3 linked regions of the Oryzias latipes genome follow. The protein of the gene in region 1 purifies or fractionates together with the protein of each later gene. This does not show direct contact. Links are inferred from orthologs where the notes say so. Each region holds a gene or a part of one and is shown on either strand. Other genes may lie near its edges.

The links.
Region 2: the proteins of E3 ubiquitin/ISG15 ligase TRIM25 (region 1) and igf2bp3 purify together in Homo sapiens (affinity purification with western blotting; 3 studies listed by BioGRID, with this or other methods). This does not show direct contact. The link is inferred for Oryzias latipes from reciprocal best matches to the Homo sapiens genes TRIM25 and IGF2BP3.
Region 3: the proteins of E3 ubiquitin/ISG15 ligase TRIM25 (region 1) and g3bp2 purify together in Homo sapiens (affinity purification with mass spectrometry; 4 studies listed by BioGRID and IntAct, counting the BioPlex papers as one, with this or other methods). This does not show direct contact. The link is inferred for Oryzias latipes from reciprocal best matches to the Homo sapiens genes TRIM25 and G3BP2.

What each region holds. Positions count from the first base shown.
Region 1 is NC_019859.2:4,840,439-4,844,667, forward strand, and holds part of E3 ubiquitin/ISG15 ligase TRIM25, read left to right. Parts: intron 1-747; coding exon 748-916; intron 917-998; coding exon 999-1,025; intron 1,026-2,187; coding exon 2,188-2,241; intron 2,242-2,395; coding exon 2,396-2,452; intron 2,453-3,034; coding exon 3,035-3,142; intron 3,143-3,551; coding exon 3,552-3,614; intron 3,615-4,229.
Region 2 is NC_019869.2:10,790,848-10,795,697, reverse strand, and holds the start of igf2bp3 (insulin-like growth factor 2 mRNA-binding protein 3), read right to left. Parts: upstream 3,123-4,850; 5' UTR 2,567-3,122; coding exon 2,392-2,566; intron 1,701-2,391; coding exon 1,640-1,700; intron 1-1,639. UniProt on the Homo sapiens protein: RNA-binding factor that may recruit target transcripts to cytoplasmic protein-RNA complexes (mRNPs). This transcript 'caging' into mRNPs allows mRNA transport and transient storage.
Region 3 is NC_019859.2:16,816,356-16,821,375, forward strand, and holds the start of g3bp2 (ras GTPase-activating protein-binding protein 2), read left to right. Parts: upstream 1-1,710; 5' UTR 1,711-1,903; intron 1,904-3,748; 5' UTR 3,749-3,772; coding exon 3,773-3,867; intron 3,868-3,948; coding exon 3,949-4,030; intron 4,031-4,405; coding exon 4,406-4,579; intron 4,580-5,020.

The sequences.
Region 1 (4,229 bases):
CCAGAGAAAGCTTTGGAGCGCGAAGAGGACCGGTCGCCTGCTCCGCCCGTGCAAAGCAAGTCTCTGAGCAGAGCAGCCGCACTCGTAGCTTCGTGTTTGCAGCAGGGGTTAGGGTCCTGAGAAACCGTGTAAACAATCCTGTGAATTCATGTCTCCAATCGTGTCCAGACAAAATAAAGGCTGACGTTAGTTCCACATATTTACGTTCAGTCAAGATGCACATTGCGGCCTTGACCACATGGATTTTAAATGCATCCACGGCTAAATGTTGTTGCTGGCACTTATTAGCCTAACCCTTCTTTCGGCTCCGTTCCGCCAAGAAAAAAGGCACAGAGTTAAAAAAAAAAGTACGAGCGAACAAGCACGTAATAATAATCATAATAATGATAAAATCACGTTTAGAAGATCATCTCACTCCACGCTGCAGGTTTGTTTGTTTACAACAGAAATCAATATTTCCTCTTCTGTGGTCGTTTCCGGTATTTTGGAGAGTCCTGCACGTCCAAATGATTTGTTCCGACCAAAAGTGTGGCGTATGTAAACGTTTGTTATAATCGCATAAGGTTTTTCTGGGACCATGTACACAGTTCAATTCTAATTCGATCTTTGATCCACTAGTGGTGTCTCACCTGGTTTTATGGCTCCACACCTTCATAAAAAAAAGCTCTTTTAGATGTTAGAAATCTCACCCAGCAGTGTGTCTGTGATTACAATGAGGTGCATCATGATCCACCCTCTGTCCTGCAGACGTCATTCACACTCCCCCAAGCTGTGAATTTTGAGCCCTACACGCCTCGGGTCACCTTGGACTCCAGCAAAGTGATGGCGGCAGAGATTTTTCCTGCTGTGCTGAAGAAACACCTGACGGAAATGTTTGGACATCCTGTTGCAGCGCGGATAGAGCTGCTCAAACCGGGTCAGTCTTCAGCTGCGCTGACGGGACTTTTTAAATCCTTTTTAAAAATGTTGTTGGTGAATTCTGTTCAATTTGATCCCAGCGGTAGCCACGGTCTTTCTTCAAGCTGGTGAGTATTTAGAAATGAAAGTATGGGACGGGTGACCGAATCTGCAAATTCACCCTTTATCATATTAAACTGTAATTTTTTCCCCATCATTTTTATTAAAATCCACAAAATGAATTCTGTTAGATCCCACAATGATTTAGAAATGGAGAAATTCTTTATCAATATTTTCTGAAAAAATAAAATGTGACTGGATCTTTAATTTTTTGCATGAGTATTGTTGATGATTGTCAGAAATTTAGTTTTTCGAAGACTTGTTTTTTGTACAAAATATTTCTTTCATTGGGTTTTCTGCAAAAATGGTCACTTCTTGTTTATCTTCACATTATATGATTAAAGTATGAAATGTTTAAAAGCCCCAAATCTATGAGATCAAATCTGAATAAGCTTAAAGTGAATGAAAAAAAATAATTTGAAAAAAAGACATGGCAAAATATGATTTATATCACAAAATTGCACATTAACCAAAATTTTGTACTTTTAAAAAATTTAATTTGAATTTGGCAAGTTTTAGCTGTAAAGTTAGGCTATTTTTTTAAGTTGTCAGTATTTCTTCGAATTTAAGTTATTTTTCCTAAATTTATTTATTTATTTTTTTAAGTTAGTGTACTTTCTAGTTTAAAACTTATTTTAATTTTTTTTATTTTCAAATAAACATGAGTGTTTTTTTAAATGTACAATCTGGTTTTTCATTCATTTTAAGAAAATCCTGATTTGACCCCGTAGTAATCACGAGAAACCATTAAAAATCGTTCAGTTGTGAAGGTTAAACATGAGACAAAATACTTCTTTTTTTTTGTCCAAATAATGCATTAAATCAAAATTTCTTAACCAACCCCACAGCCCAGTCATCATGTGGATTTTCCAATGGTTAATGTTTTATTTTGAAAGAAATCTTAAGCACTATTATTTGTTGTAATGTGGAAAAAAACAAAAACTGTAAGCTTAGGAGTAAAAAAACAATTACATGTATTTCCCTCGTATTAAATTTTAAATAAAGCATAAAAATATACATAACTGTTGCAAAACAAAACATGCTGTCAAATACGGATGTTTTATTCATTTATATTTAGCAATCCTGTTTGATTTGGAGGACCTTTTAGTCTATCGACTGTTGAGGGATAATAAAATACTGACGCATGGATTTGTTGTATTTTTTTTTTAGGTGCAGGAGCAGCTTCTTCTTTATCTTTGACCCCAAAAACATCTCAGCAATTGGGTAACCTATTAAAATAAATAATATTAAATAATTGAGGAATTTTACTCATTTATAATAAAATGATTTATAATAACTCACAAGAAAAATGAAACAAAATTGTGAAATTTTATCTAAAAGGATTACTTTAAATGCTCTATTTTTTGTCTTTTTTTAGAGCCTGGAACTCCCATCCAAACTTCTCTGCCTAAACCAGCCTCAAAGAAAAGATCAAGTAAGAATTGTTTGACTTTAAAAATGTAAGTTAGCATTATTAAATATTTACTGATCTTACAGTGCTGTAGCAAAGCAGGGTAGGGGACTTTCTGACATGTTCTTGTTGCATTTTTCTGACGTGGGAGGACCAACATTGAGAAAATTAATGTCAAAGTTGCATTTCTGAGAATTTTTTTTTTGATTCAAATCGCTGTAAATCAGGAGCAGACGCAAAAATACGGTTTGAAAAAGATTTATATTTGTATTTGTGACTAGGCGGGCCACAAGCGCCCTGTTCTTAGCTACTGGGAGGAAAGGGGGGTGGGCAGGGATGCCCCACATACATGGTCTCACCCACAACTGAGAGGCAAATTCTACTGAACTACTGCCACTCTGCAGAAACTGTCCTAGAAAACGTCATAGGTTTATTTTTGGCTAAAAACGTCATCTTTAAAAGACCACTGGGAACTCTTCTACAAAAGATCGAATGATGATCGGCGTTTGACTTTAAACTCCAGACCCTTTGCTTGGATTCTGCCTTAAATAATCCTTTTTACTCATTTTGATTCATGCCTGTATTTATTTTTTTCCCCTTTTTTAGAAGGCACCAAGTCTTCCGATGCAAGCGGATTGACAAAACGAGAGCTGTCCAAATCCATGGAACACCTTTTGGACCTGAAAGTACACAAACTAAAGGAGAAAATATCAGGTAGACAACGGGGTTTATTGTCTCGGGTTATAATCTAATCTGGTGGCAGTTCCACACCACAGTCTGGGCCAGAATTTCACCTCACAAACAGAACCAGAACTCATTAAAACATCATTTTCAGCCTTTTATATAGCATTGCCTTACATTACTCAGCTGAGTTTGGATTTCCTGTACACTATTCTGCTATCTTTTGTATTTTCTTTGTACAATGCAGGTTAGTCAGCTTCAACAACGTTATTCGTTATTCTTTTCTAAAATAATCTAATGTAGTTTTGAGCTTTGAAATGCAATAAAAGAGCAAGGGGGCAGATGTGGCAAATAGTGGGAATTTTATTACAAATACCAATTTTTTTAATTTAAACTGCTGTTGTGCCCAATTGAGCTGTTTTTTCTTTTCTCTCCCTCTCAGTTTTGAATGCAGAAATTGCCAAAGACATCGCTTCAGCTGAAAAAAGAAGTGAGCTCATGAAGTGTAAGTCTTGCAGTGGGGCAAACAACTGTTTGCAAGTTGTCCCACTTCCACAGAGATGCCAGAGGTCTGTAGTGTTAATGACAGAAACATTTCAACAGTTGGAGACAGAATGTAGAAGTCCAGGAAATCATATTGTATATGGCTGCACGATATGAGGAAAACTCGCAATATGTGATTTTGGTGATAAACATATTGCGATAAGAATATAACTTGCGGTAAATAAACAAAGAGTAAAACAACCAAAAACATCATTCCCATATAATTGCAACAGTTTAAAAATTATACTCCAAATGACCCTCGTCAACAGAGAAGGGGAACATCTAACATAATAGGACTCCATCTGATTGGTCAAATGCATAAATTGATTTATTGGATTCGTTAAATACTTCAAGCTGCCATAAGCTTGTTTTAGCACATTTAAGGTAACCATTTATTGCAATTTTTGCTGTCTTTTGCGATATGCGTATTGCACAGCTTGGTACTGCGATAGCGATAAATTTGCGGTATATTGTGCAGGCCTAATATTGTGTAATTTTTAAACAATTTAAGTAGTATAGCAATAATACTAGCGCATGTCTGCCGGCTACAGTTTGAAGAGGCTCGGTGCGAAATGTC
Region 2 (4,850 bases), on another chromosome or scaffold:
AGAAAAACTTGCTGAGAAAAATATATGCTTTCTTCCACACAGTGCACACAGATTGTTTTTCACAACTTATTTGGGTTTCTATACATAACAGCCTCAAGCATAATTTTCTAAACTTATTTAAAAAAAACACTCAACGTTTATTTCCATTTACACTAATTTTATCTGAATTTCATTAAAAAAAATGAAAAAATTTGAAAACAATAAATTGCCTAATTGTATACAGTGCATTCTGGGGGGTATTATCTGGAGGGGCTGGTTTATCACATTTACACAACTGAAGAGAATCAACCACTATTAGGAGCCAGTGAAACATCGCCATGCTGCTCATTCCTCCAAGTTTTTTTTATTTTCTTTTTTTTTTTTTTCTAAATGTCCCCACCCTATTTTGATTCCTGACTGCTGCAGCACTTCCTCTTCCTGTGGAGTTCAAAGGTTAAGCAATGCTGATTGGCCAACCCTCCTGTTGAAATATACAGGCTGTAATGCAAAAAGAGTGCCCCCCAAGCTTACAAGGGTGTGGGTTCCCTCTTTTTTCATTGAGTATGATTATGTTCCATGTTCTACAGAGAGAGGGGGAGCTCAATTTACTCCAGCCCCAGTGTGGCTGAAACCCCCCCCCCACTATAAAACAACCTGAATATACAAAACATTAAATTCAAGAATCAAATCCTTCCCCTCTCTATTTTCTTATTAAAAGCTGTGTCAAACAATGTGTGTGGTTTTGTCTTTGTGATCTTTTTAAAAGCTATTCCATAAAAACCTCTTGGTATACAATTTAACCAATAGTTTGTCTTTATTTAACCTTTAAAGGGAAATTCTATAAAAACAGACTCATTGATATTTTTTTAGTTTAAAAAAAGGGATATATTTTAGGTGTAAACACGCAAACATGCTTCGTGATTCAACTTAGTACAAATAAAATATGTTAAATTTGGATCTAATAGTTTTAACCCCAATTCGACATCAATGCAAGCAGAATTACGCCAACACCAGGAATACGCACCACACGTCCAGATTTGGTGGAGCACTAAAGATTTTTTGTTTGTTTGTTTTTTGAAAGCCTGAAAACGCTCCACCTCTCACACAGACATTTCGCGAGTTGGGCCCTAAGCCTCCCATTCCACCCGCGATTTGAGGAGTCCATCTCATGCAAACAGCAGCACAACATGCTGAAGAGGGCGAAAGCGCAGGGCAGACAGGGAGAATGACGGGCAGATCCTTCTCAAATGGACGACTCCACAAGGCCTGCACGCCACAAATCCAGCCTGCGTTCACGTTTGCTCCTTTCGCCGTGCGCTCTGAGAGGGTTACAAGCCGCCATGAGCTTGGAGCTCATATATTGGGCACTACATGCGAAAACAAGGGTGGATGTGTAAACAGGAGAGCCAAAAGAGAGCATGTGAAAGCCAAAAGCACAACGGTTTAGGAGCAAAGCGGAGAGAAGGGAGTACAGTAATCCTCCACACGCCCCTTGTGTTTGACCCCTGAGCTTTCAGGGAGAGGAAATACTATTTTACGCAAAATAAAAAATTGAACAATGCACTGAATTTACTATGCTGGGAACCAAATAAAAACTGAAACTGCCATTTTGGATTTTTTTTATTTAAAAAAAAAAAGGCAAAATATGATTTAAACCTACCTTTGACGCTTAGGGACAGAATGCTCCACTTCCAGAAGTTTCCCGTGGAGTTCAACTTTACCTAAAACACAAAAAAGCAACTTCAGAAACATCCTGACCTTCCGGTAGAAAATTCACTCTTTATGGGAAGTTTCTCTCTCAAAAAAAAACATGAGCGTATTTTCTCCATTAAGCTAAACGCATAAAGACGACAGCAATTCCCATCTACAATCTATTTGAGGTCACCTGAACCTGTGCGTTAAAGGCATATTTTACGAGAAAACAAGTGAAAGAAGAACCAAACGTGTTTGTTGGCTTCATTCAGTTGGCCTACATTTGACCAACACAATTAAACCACCTGGTGTGTCAGCAACATGGCTTCACCACGCAGACGGAGGGCCCGTGTTTTGAAACCCGGGGAAACTGAAACTTCGTGGGTGGAAAGGTAGAAACACACCGCTGTCAGTGAACCTCCAACAAGGTCCACTTCTCAAGGCGTCTGCGCCCCAGCTGCCCTGAACGCCACACGAAGCCATTGTATTCATGTCGTTTTGTTTACTTCTGCTTTTTAAAATCAAGGAAAGCCAAAAGACTTTCCACCTAAACCCATATGTTTAAACCCCTGGAGTCTAAAGGCCACGTAAAGGTTGTGTGATAGAAGAAAAAAGGCACCCCCGCCCTTCGTGCATGCATGCATGCATTTCTGGGGGCAATGAACGAAGTAAGACGATCCTAAATGGAGGCTCTTTGTGAATTTGTTGAAAATGTCTCACCTGAAAGAACATCGATGGCCTTCATCGCTGCCTTCTCGTCCGGGCAATCCACAAACGCATAGCCACTTTTGACCAGAAACGGACCACTGTGCGGAATCTTCCACTGCTCAAAGATACTTTCGAAGTCCTCCTCGCTCGCCTCTGCGCTCACGTTGCCAATGTAAAGCTTATTCATGTTCCACGCCGAGAGGGGACAATCTTTACGCGGAGGGAGAGTCAGTTACCTACTCCCGTGGATGTGCAAGTGCGGTGTGCGTGGAGTAGCCCGCGTCGCCGTTACTACTACGGACTGAGCGGCTGTGGCGTGCTTCCCGGTCGTTCAAGCCTCAGAATTTAAACTGGCAGCCTAGGTGTGCGTTCGCTCTCTGTCGCGCAATAAATAAACGCTCAATTATTAATCTCCAAACGTTGGCGGGCCGGGAGAAAAGGAGGAGAAACTACTTTGTGTCTTCTTCCAAACCCCTTGGCAAAGAGACAGAGAATGTCACACACGGTGAGGCTGGCGCCCGCCTCTAAGTCTACAGCCCAGAATAAGAAGAAAGGAGGAGGAAAAAAAAAAACTCTGCTATTCCGGCTTTTTTGAATGAGCCACGTGTTCAAACTACAAATCAGCCCACACGTGAGGATTCCCAATTGCTCAATTAAGTATTTGGGGGAAATTGCACGGGAATCTGGGGTGGGGACAGCAATGGGGAGTGAAGAAAAAAGGAGGGGAAGAGTGGATTGGTGTTGGGAAAATCTTGTGCGTAAAGGGATTCCATGAGAAAGTAGTGCATCTTAACTGGATTCACAATCGTTGCCTTTCTCTGCAAAACTTTGATTGTCATTGGTCAACAGGGGAACATTAAATCGACTGCGCGTTCACGCGCACTCCATAGCAGGGAGACAGAAAATTGCTGGTGCTCGTCCGCGCGGGTGCGCCGTGCCCTAAACTGATGACACAGTTGAGGGAGAAGGGGGTGTGGCCATTCATAAATAATGTTACACTGTATTGTTAAATTGCATATCGGATGTATTTAATTGCAGGTATGTGTGGAGCGTTGGCAGAACCCCGCGCGCACTCTTCGGACCCTCGCACTCAAGTGGAAATGACAACCTGATGACGGCGTCCATCTTCTCTAGCAGGCGTAGAGCCATGCTTCTCTGAGTCTGATCCACGGCTCAAAGTCCAACAGGGGGCCATTTTTTTCTCGTGTTTACATAAATTGAACATTTAAGATCGTATACTTTAATGTGAAATCTGATTTTTCTGCTTTTTACTTTCATATGTTTAGGCATCTGTGCACAACCCCCAGCCATGTGGCGCAAACGCACATGGCGAATCTTGTCTGGCATGGATTTACTAAAGAGGGAGGGGTCTCCTCTACTACTGGTAGTATGTCCCGAGCGACCTATGTAACGCATAGCCCAGCTCAATCACGTGTGCAATACATGACTGCAACATTACACAACTGTCAATAGGATCTTAAGTAAATTATAAGCAGGGGTTAAACTTTTACGTCCACGTCAGACAGAATCCAAACCTGTTGGTAGTGAAAAAAGTCATCTTTTAATCTAGTTCCAACCAAATTTTCTACTTGTTATAAACAAAACAAAAAAAGTTATTGGAAACCTCTTAACATAAAGTAGCTCAGTTGAAGTTTATTTCATTGTGTGCTTGAGCATAAGTATAGGCTACTATACTTGCTACCATCATGTAGTGTAGCGTAGAGTATACTAACTGCATACTTATTCAGACTAAATTGGAACATTTTAAGTGTACGATCTATTCAAGTATGCTACAACAGCTAAAGAAATTAGTTTTTGCAATAGTGGCCAACTAAAAGGTACAAATAAACTAATTAAGTCGATTCCTGAGGTACATTTAAAATTGTTTTTGATTGCTGGAGGTATGAGGAGTTTTGTTTTACCATAAACTTCTGTAAAACCTAAAGAACTTGCTCCAAACACACAACAATTAAGAAGTTTGCATACTTTGTGTCAGCTACTTTACTTTTGTTTTGTTCTTTTTAAAGCAACATTTGATACGCACAACATTATTTGGCTACAAAGAACTTCAACAATGTGCTTTGTTAAAGAGTTTAAATGCTTCATACTATTTAAAAAAAATGTAAATGATAAATAAAACGTGTTTAAAAACAAATTTGACCTTTAACATAGTTTGTGTTTTTTAGTAATTAATTAGCTCAATTGAAAAGTGTGGCTGTGTGTAAAGCAGGTTCCAGAGGCACCGTTGGCTCAGTGGGCCCTTCATTCACCGCTCCAGACTGGGGCCATGGTTGTCTGTCTGTGTGGGTTTACTCCTCTGCTGTTGAGCAAACACACCGAGCTGTCTGATTGGTCAGATCTCTGGGCCAATCAGAGAGGCGCACACCCTCTCTGAACTACAGGCTTTGGCTCGGCCTCAGCGCGCTCATTCATTGGCTCCCCGGCTTGACAAATTCCATATGAATCAGCGC
Region 3 (5,020 bases), about 12 Mb from region 1:
TGTCATCAACCCTCAGACTGGGGCTCCAAGTACAATCTCACCTCGTGGGGTCTTAGTGATCCTAAGAAAAGAGAGGACACAGCCCACAACTACATGGGAAGAGCTGTTTGACCTCTTCCTCCTCCACTTTCATCAAATCAAACTTTATTTATAGAATAGCGCTTCTCATGCAGTTGCACAGCTCGGAGCGCTTTAACATTAAAAACAGAAAACACACAATATTACAGTAAAAACCCAACCCACCCTTCACCCTTCCCACTCCCCTCCGTTAAAACATATGACCCATGGCCCCCTACATATAAAGAATAATGACTATGTAACTTTAAATAAAATAACTAAATAAATATGCAAACAAGTATGGCTTTGCTCTGCTGTGAGGAAACAGTATTTGGGAATCTCTTCATGCCAGGAGCCAGCCTGGCCATGGGAGCATCGCCACAGTGCCCACCCAGACGGGGACAACACTCGGGTCCACTTCACAGACGTGAAGCTGCAAAGTTAGACTCCAGCTGCCCCAGCAAGGGCAACAACTGCAGCAACAACCACCGACCAAGCCGGCAAGCCCTGGAAGAAAATATCCCCACAAGAAACACTGGGGCTAAAATCATGATAAGATACTAAAATTAAAGATACTTATACTTACATAAAAGTGTCGACCTGTAAGGTAAGAGTAAAACCACTTAAGAACATTTCCAGAGAGGCCCACTAGACTCCTAAGTCTGTCTAATAAAATCTGGTGATCTACTGTATCAAAAGTGGCACTCAGATCTAGCAGTACCAGAACAGAAAGTTCTGTGAGTCGTAGTTTATTCTAAGATCATTAACGATCTTTAAAAGAGCCGTCTCTGTACTATGGTTTGTCCTAAAACCAGACTGATATTTTTCTAAAATTTTTTGGGTGATTAAAAAGTCATGCAGTTGAGTAGCGACACTTTTTTTTTAATAATTTTACTTAAAAATGGTAATTTGGATACGGGTCTGTAGTTATCCAGATTTTTTGGATCTAACTGACTCTTCTTCAGAAGGGGCCTCACCAAACCAGGGGAAGACCCCCATCTGAAGAGAGCAGTTAACTATGTTTAAAAGATCGGACTCAAAGAATCCATAAAATGTTTTAAAAAGTGAAGTGGGAATGTGATCCTAAACGCAGGTTGTAATGTTTACTTGAGATACAACTCGATCAAGCATCTCTGCATCAACAAGGACAAATCATCTTCCTCTTCATCTTCCATATCATTTCTCAACAATACAACTAGCAATCCAAATTCTTTTTTTTTTTTTTTTGCTAAGGTAAATAAAAGATTAAGAATAATGCATTTAATAAAAAGGGAAATCTGAATAATCCCGATAAAAATAAAAATAAATGAACAACCTATTTAAACAATACATACGTTAAAATACAGTCAAGATAAAAAAAAAAACATGGAGGAAGAATCTGTTAACCGTATGGGATTGTACTGGTTTTGTCCAATTACTAGAGACTCACAACTGAAACTGGAAAGTTAACATTTTTTAAAAGACAGAATTTGCCAGCATGTGAGTGGTTTTTCTTAAATCGTGATTTTTTAAAACTATAAGTATACATGTATATTTTGTAATGAAAGCGTTTTGTTAGTAGGCGTGGCCATTTTTCCTACGCCATGTTCACCTCAGCCGTCTATTGGCTGAATCAGGTTAATGGGGGTCCCCTACCCGAGATTACAGGGGTAAAATAATAAATCGTACCTATCTCTTTAAGTGGCGAATCTCTGGTGCAGCAGAGATCTGTTACTTGTAGTTAGAGGAGGTTCGAAAGTATAATTTTTCACATTCGGCATTCCTATATTTGGGAACAGTTTACAGTCGGGTACTTGTCGTAATTTATTCCACACGATTCTGTCTACTTTGATAGGTCCTTCAGAAGGTAAGTTAGTTAGCCATTCTCCAAGATTTCGGTTAAGCGAAGCAAACGTATCAGCTAGCATTGCGTTAGCAATATTGCCTTCCACACAACAACTGTTCGATTGTATTGTTGATATTTACAATTTTCAGTGAAACGGTTTTTTTTAATATAAGCAACCGTACTCCTAACTATACACGGGGACATTTTGTGATTCAAAGAGATTTGGAACACGCTTTCCTTTGTTGTCTTAAGCTAGCACCGACCGAGCATTCAGTTGTGGTGGTGGTGTTCAACGTTAAGTACGAATTTGGATGTTGATGTATTGACATAGCAAGAAAGTATTATTTCAAACATTTTTTTGTATTGATTTTTTTGTGTTGTAACCAAAAATACGATTTTAAAATGAGGAAGTTATTTTTACGTGTTTAGGCTAAGTTTCTGTAATGGCTAGTATCGCCAGGTGTTGCCGTCATCATGTTGGCATTTTCTATTTAACAGCTTGTGGTCAGCATTTTGGAGGTTTCCTGAACTAGTTTGTTGCAGTTGGTTTCAATAGTAATATAAAGTTAAAAATAAAATAAAAAATAACTTAGTCTATAACTGACTGTGAAGAAAATGCGACGACGCCACACGTTAGCTGAAGCTAGCTAGCTAAGCAGCAATGACGTTCTTCTTAGGGGTTAGCTGGCGTTAGCCATTTGGTGGCAGCGCAAAGGCCGGCATATTGTGAATAAAAATGTTATTTCACCTTGTAGTTAATGTTACGTTTGCTGACAGCGCGTGCACATTATGTCTCTACAAGCTCGGTAGAATTGGCATTCAGTAGAGCGTTTATACGTGTCTGTCACATTATGTTCTGAACATGCGTAGAAGAATGTTAGGTGATGAAGAGTTCTTAGGATGTGTAAGGCCTCCCCATAAGGCCTCTAGTCAGGAAGGTTTGCTTAGTTGTGTAACACATTCTTGAAATGTGGTGACAAATAAATGTAGAATTCTTTTTTTTTTTAAATTTTTTAATCTTCCTTTTTACACACCAGTTTGAGCATTTACACTAGATGTTTCCCGTTTTTTATTATGTACAGTCGGTTTGCCCCCCTTTGTCTTATTGATGTCGCAGAATGTTAACCGTTATGAACACCTTTGATCCGGATAAATGTTGTGATGTTCACGGTTTTCTCTCTTTTCATTACTTATTCATTTGACATGCTCTGAGAGAAAAATGTAAGGTTTTAAGTAATCGGCCAATTAGAGGAATCAAATGAATAGTTGGCCCTAGTCTGAAATTCTTATAGAATTTAAACCTGAATTTGAACGCTAACCAAATGACTCTAGGTGAGTTACTCATTACAAACAGCCTGGTTTGGGTTTAAAGGTTTCAGTACCTGCTTAAGGTCTTTATGATCATGGTAAAAATCTTCTTCAATTTTGCGTTTGTTTTTTTGTTGAAATTTTTATAAATGTTGTCCAACGTTTTAGATTATCTAAAGTAATCAAGGATTGGACTGGGTTAAAAACCCTAAATAGAAACAAGAAAATTTGTACTTTTATTTGAGGAAGATTAAATATGTCTTGAGATTTTGACATGCCTGTTTTCGAACAGTTGTCCTAAAGGTTACCGAATTATATTATCCAGCATTCAGCGATGACCTCTTATATTGTGGAGTTTAAAGTAGAAATAAGTCAGTTGAAATTCTATTTTATATCTCACTTTGTCCTTTACATGGTATTTTCTTGTTTTATATAAATTACTTATATTATATAAAACATCAGTCACCCGAGTCTGCAGTATGAAAACCTTTGTCATATCTGTGTCTTCATGCATAATTAGAATTTCTGATGGATCCTGTTTTTTTTTTTTTGTTTCAGCACTTAATATTGTTTACCAAAGAAATGGTGATGGAGAAGCCAAGTCCCCTGCTTGTAGGGCGGGAGTTTGTGAGGCAGTACTATACACTTCTAAACAAGGCACCGGATTTTCTGCACAGGTAACTTCAGAAATATAATTGAGGTATTTTATGTACAATAAATCTGCAGGTTCTTATTCAACGTCTTAATCATGTGTTTAGGTTCTACGGGAGAAACTCTTCCTATGTTCATGGAGGACTTGATCCAAGTGGAAAGCTGGCAGAAGCAGTGTACGGTCAGGCTGTAAGTGTGATCATCAGAAGGATTTTGTTGTTTGCTTAGACTTCAACTACTTTCTGTTCTTTGTTATTGCTTTTCTTATATTTACTGAGATCTAGTTCTCTATGGGGGAAATGCATATATATATCTATATATATATATATAGATATATATAAATACACACACACACACACACACACACACACACACACACACACACACACATAAATACAAGGTTTAAAAAAAATCTTTGGACTTTAAAATTATACAGCTTATTTAAAAATGTTCATCAATATTTAAATATAAATTCAAGAGTGCAACTTATGAAGGATGAGTGTTTTACATAAATTGTTTTCGTATTATATATTTATAAATTTATTTATTTTTTAATTTTCCTAGGAAATCCACAAAAAAGTCATGTCCCTGCAGTTCAGTGAATGCCACACAAAGATCCGGCATGTGGACGCTCATGCTACACTGAGTGATGGCGTGGTCGTGCAGGTCCTTGGGGAATTGTCAAATAACGGCCAACCTATGAGGAAATTTATGCAGACATTTGTGCTCGCTCCAGAGGTAAGTGCTGCATCCTTTTTTTTTTTTCAAAAAGTAGAGTTGGTTGTGTTTGATAACTCTTGAGGTTTAAACTTCCAGCTTTTAAAAAAAGTTTAAAAAATTTTTATGTTTTAAAATGTGAAAGGAACAATTTTTAAATTGCAATGGCATCACTCTCATAAATGGAGGGGAGAGGACGATGAGGCTGAAGATGTTATGTTGAATGTTTGTGATTATGCCCCCATAGTAGCCAAAGAATTTTGGGAGGGAGAAAGAGGAAGAGATTCTGGGTATCAGGGGAGAGAGTGGTGATTGTGACAGTTTAATAGATATGTGGGTTAGAGGAAACAGAGGTGACGAGCATGGGGGAAGCTTGGTGTAGAGGATAAAAAGTGGTGGACCTTCTTTAAAAAATGGAAATGGAGGTGGTGAACACATTTTTTCCAGAAAAGAGAGGAGCAT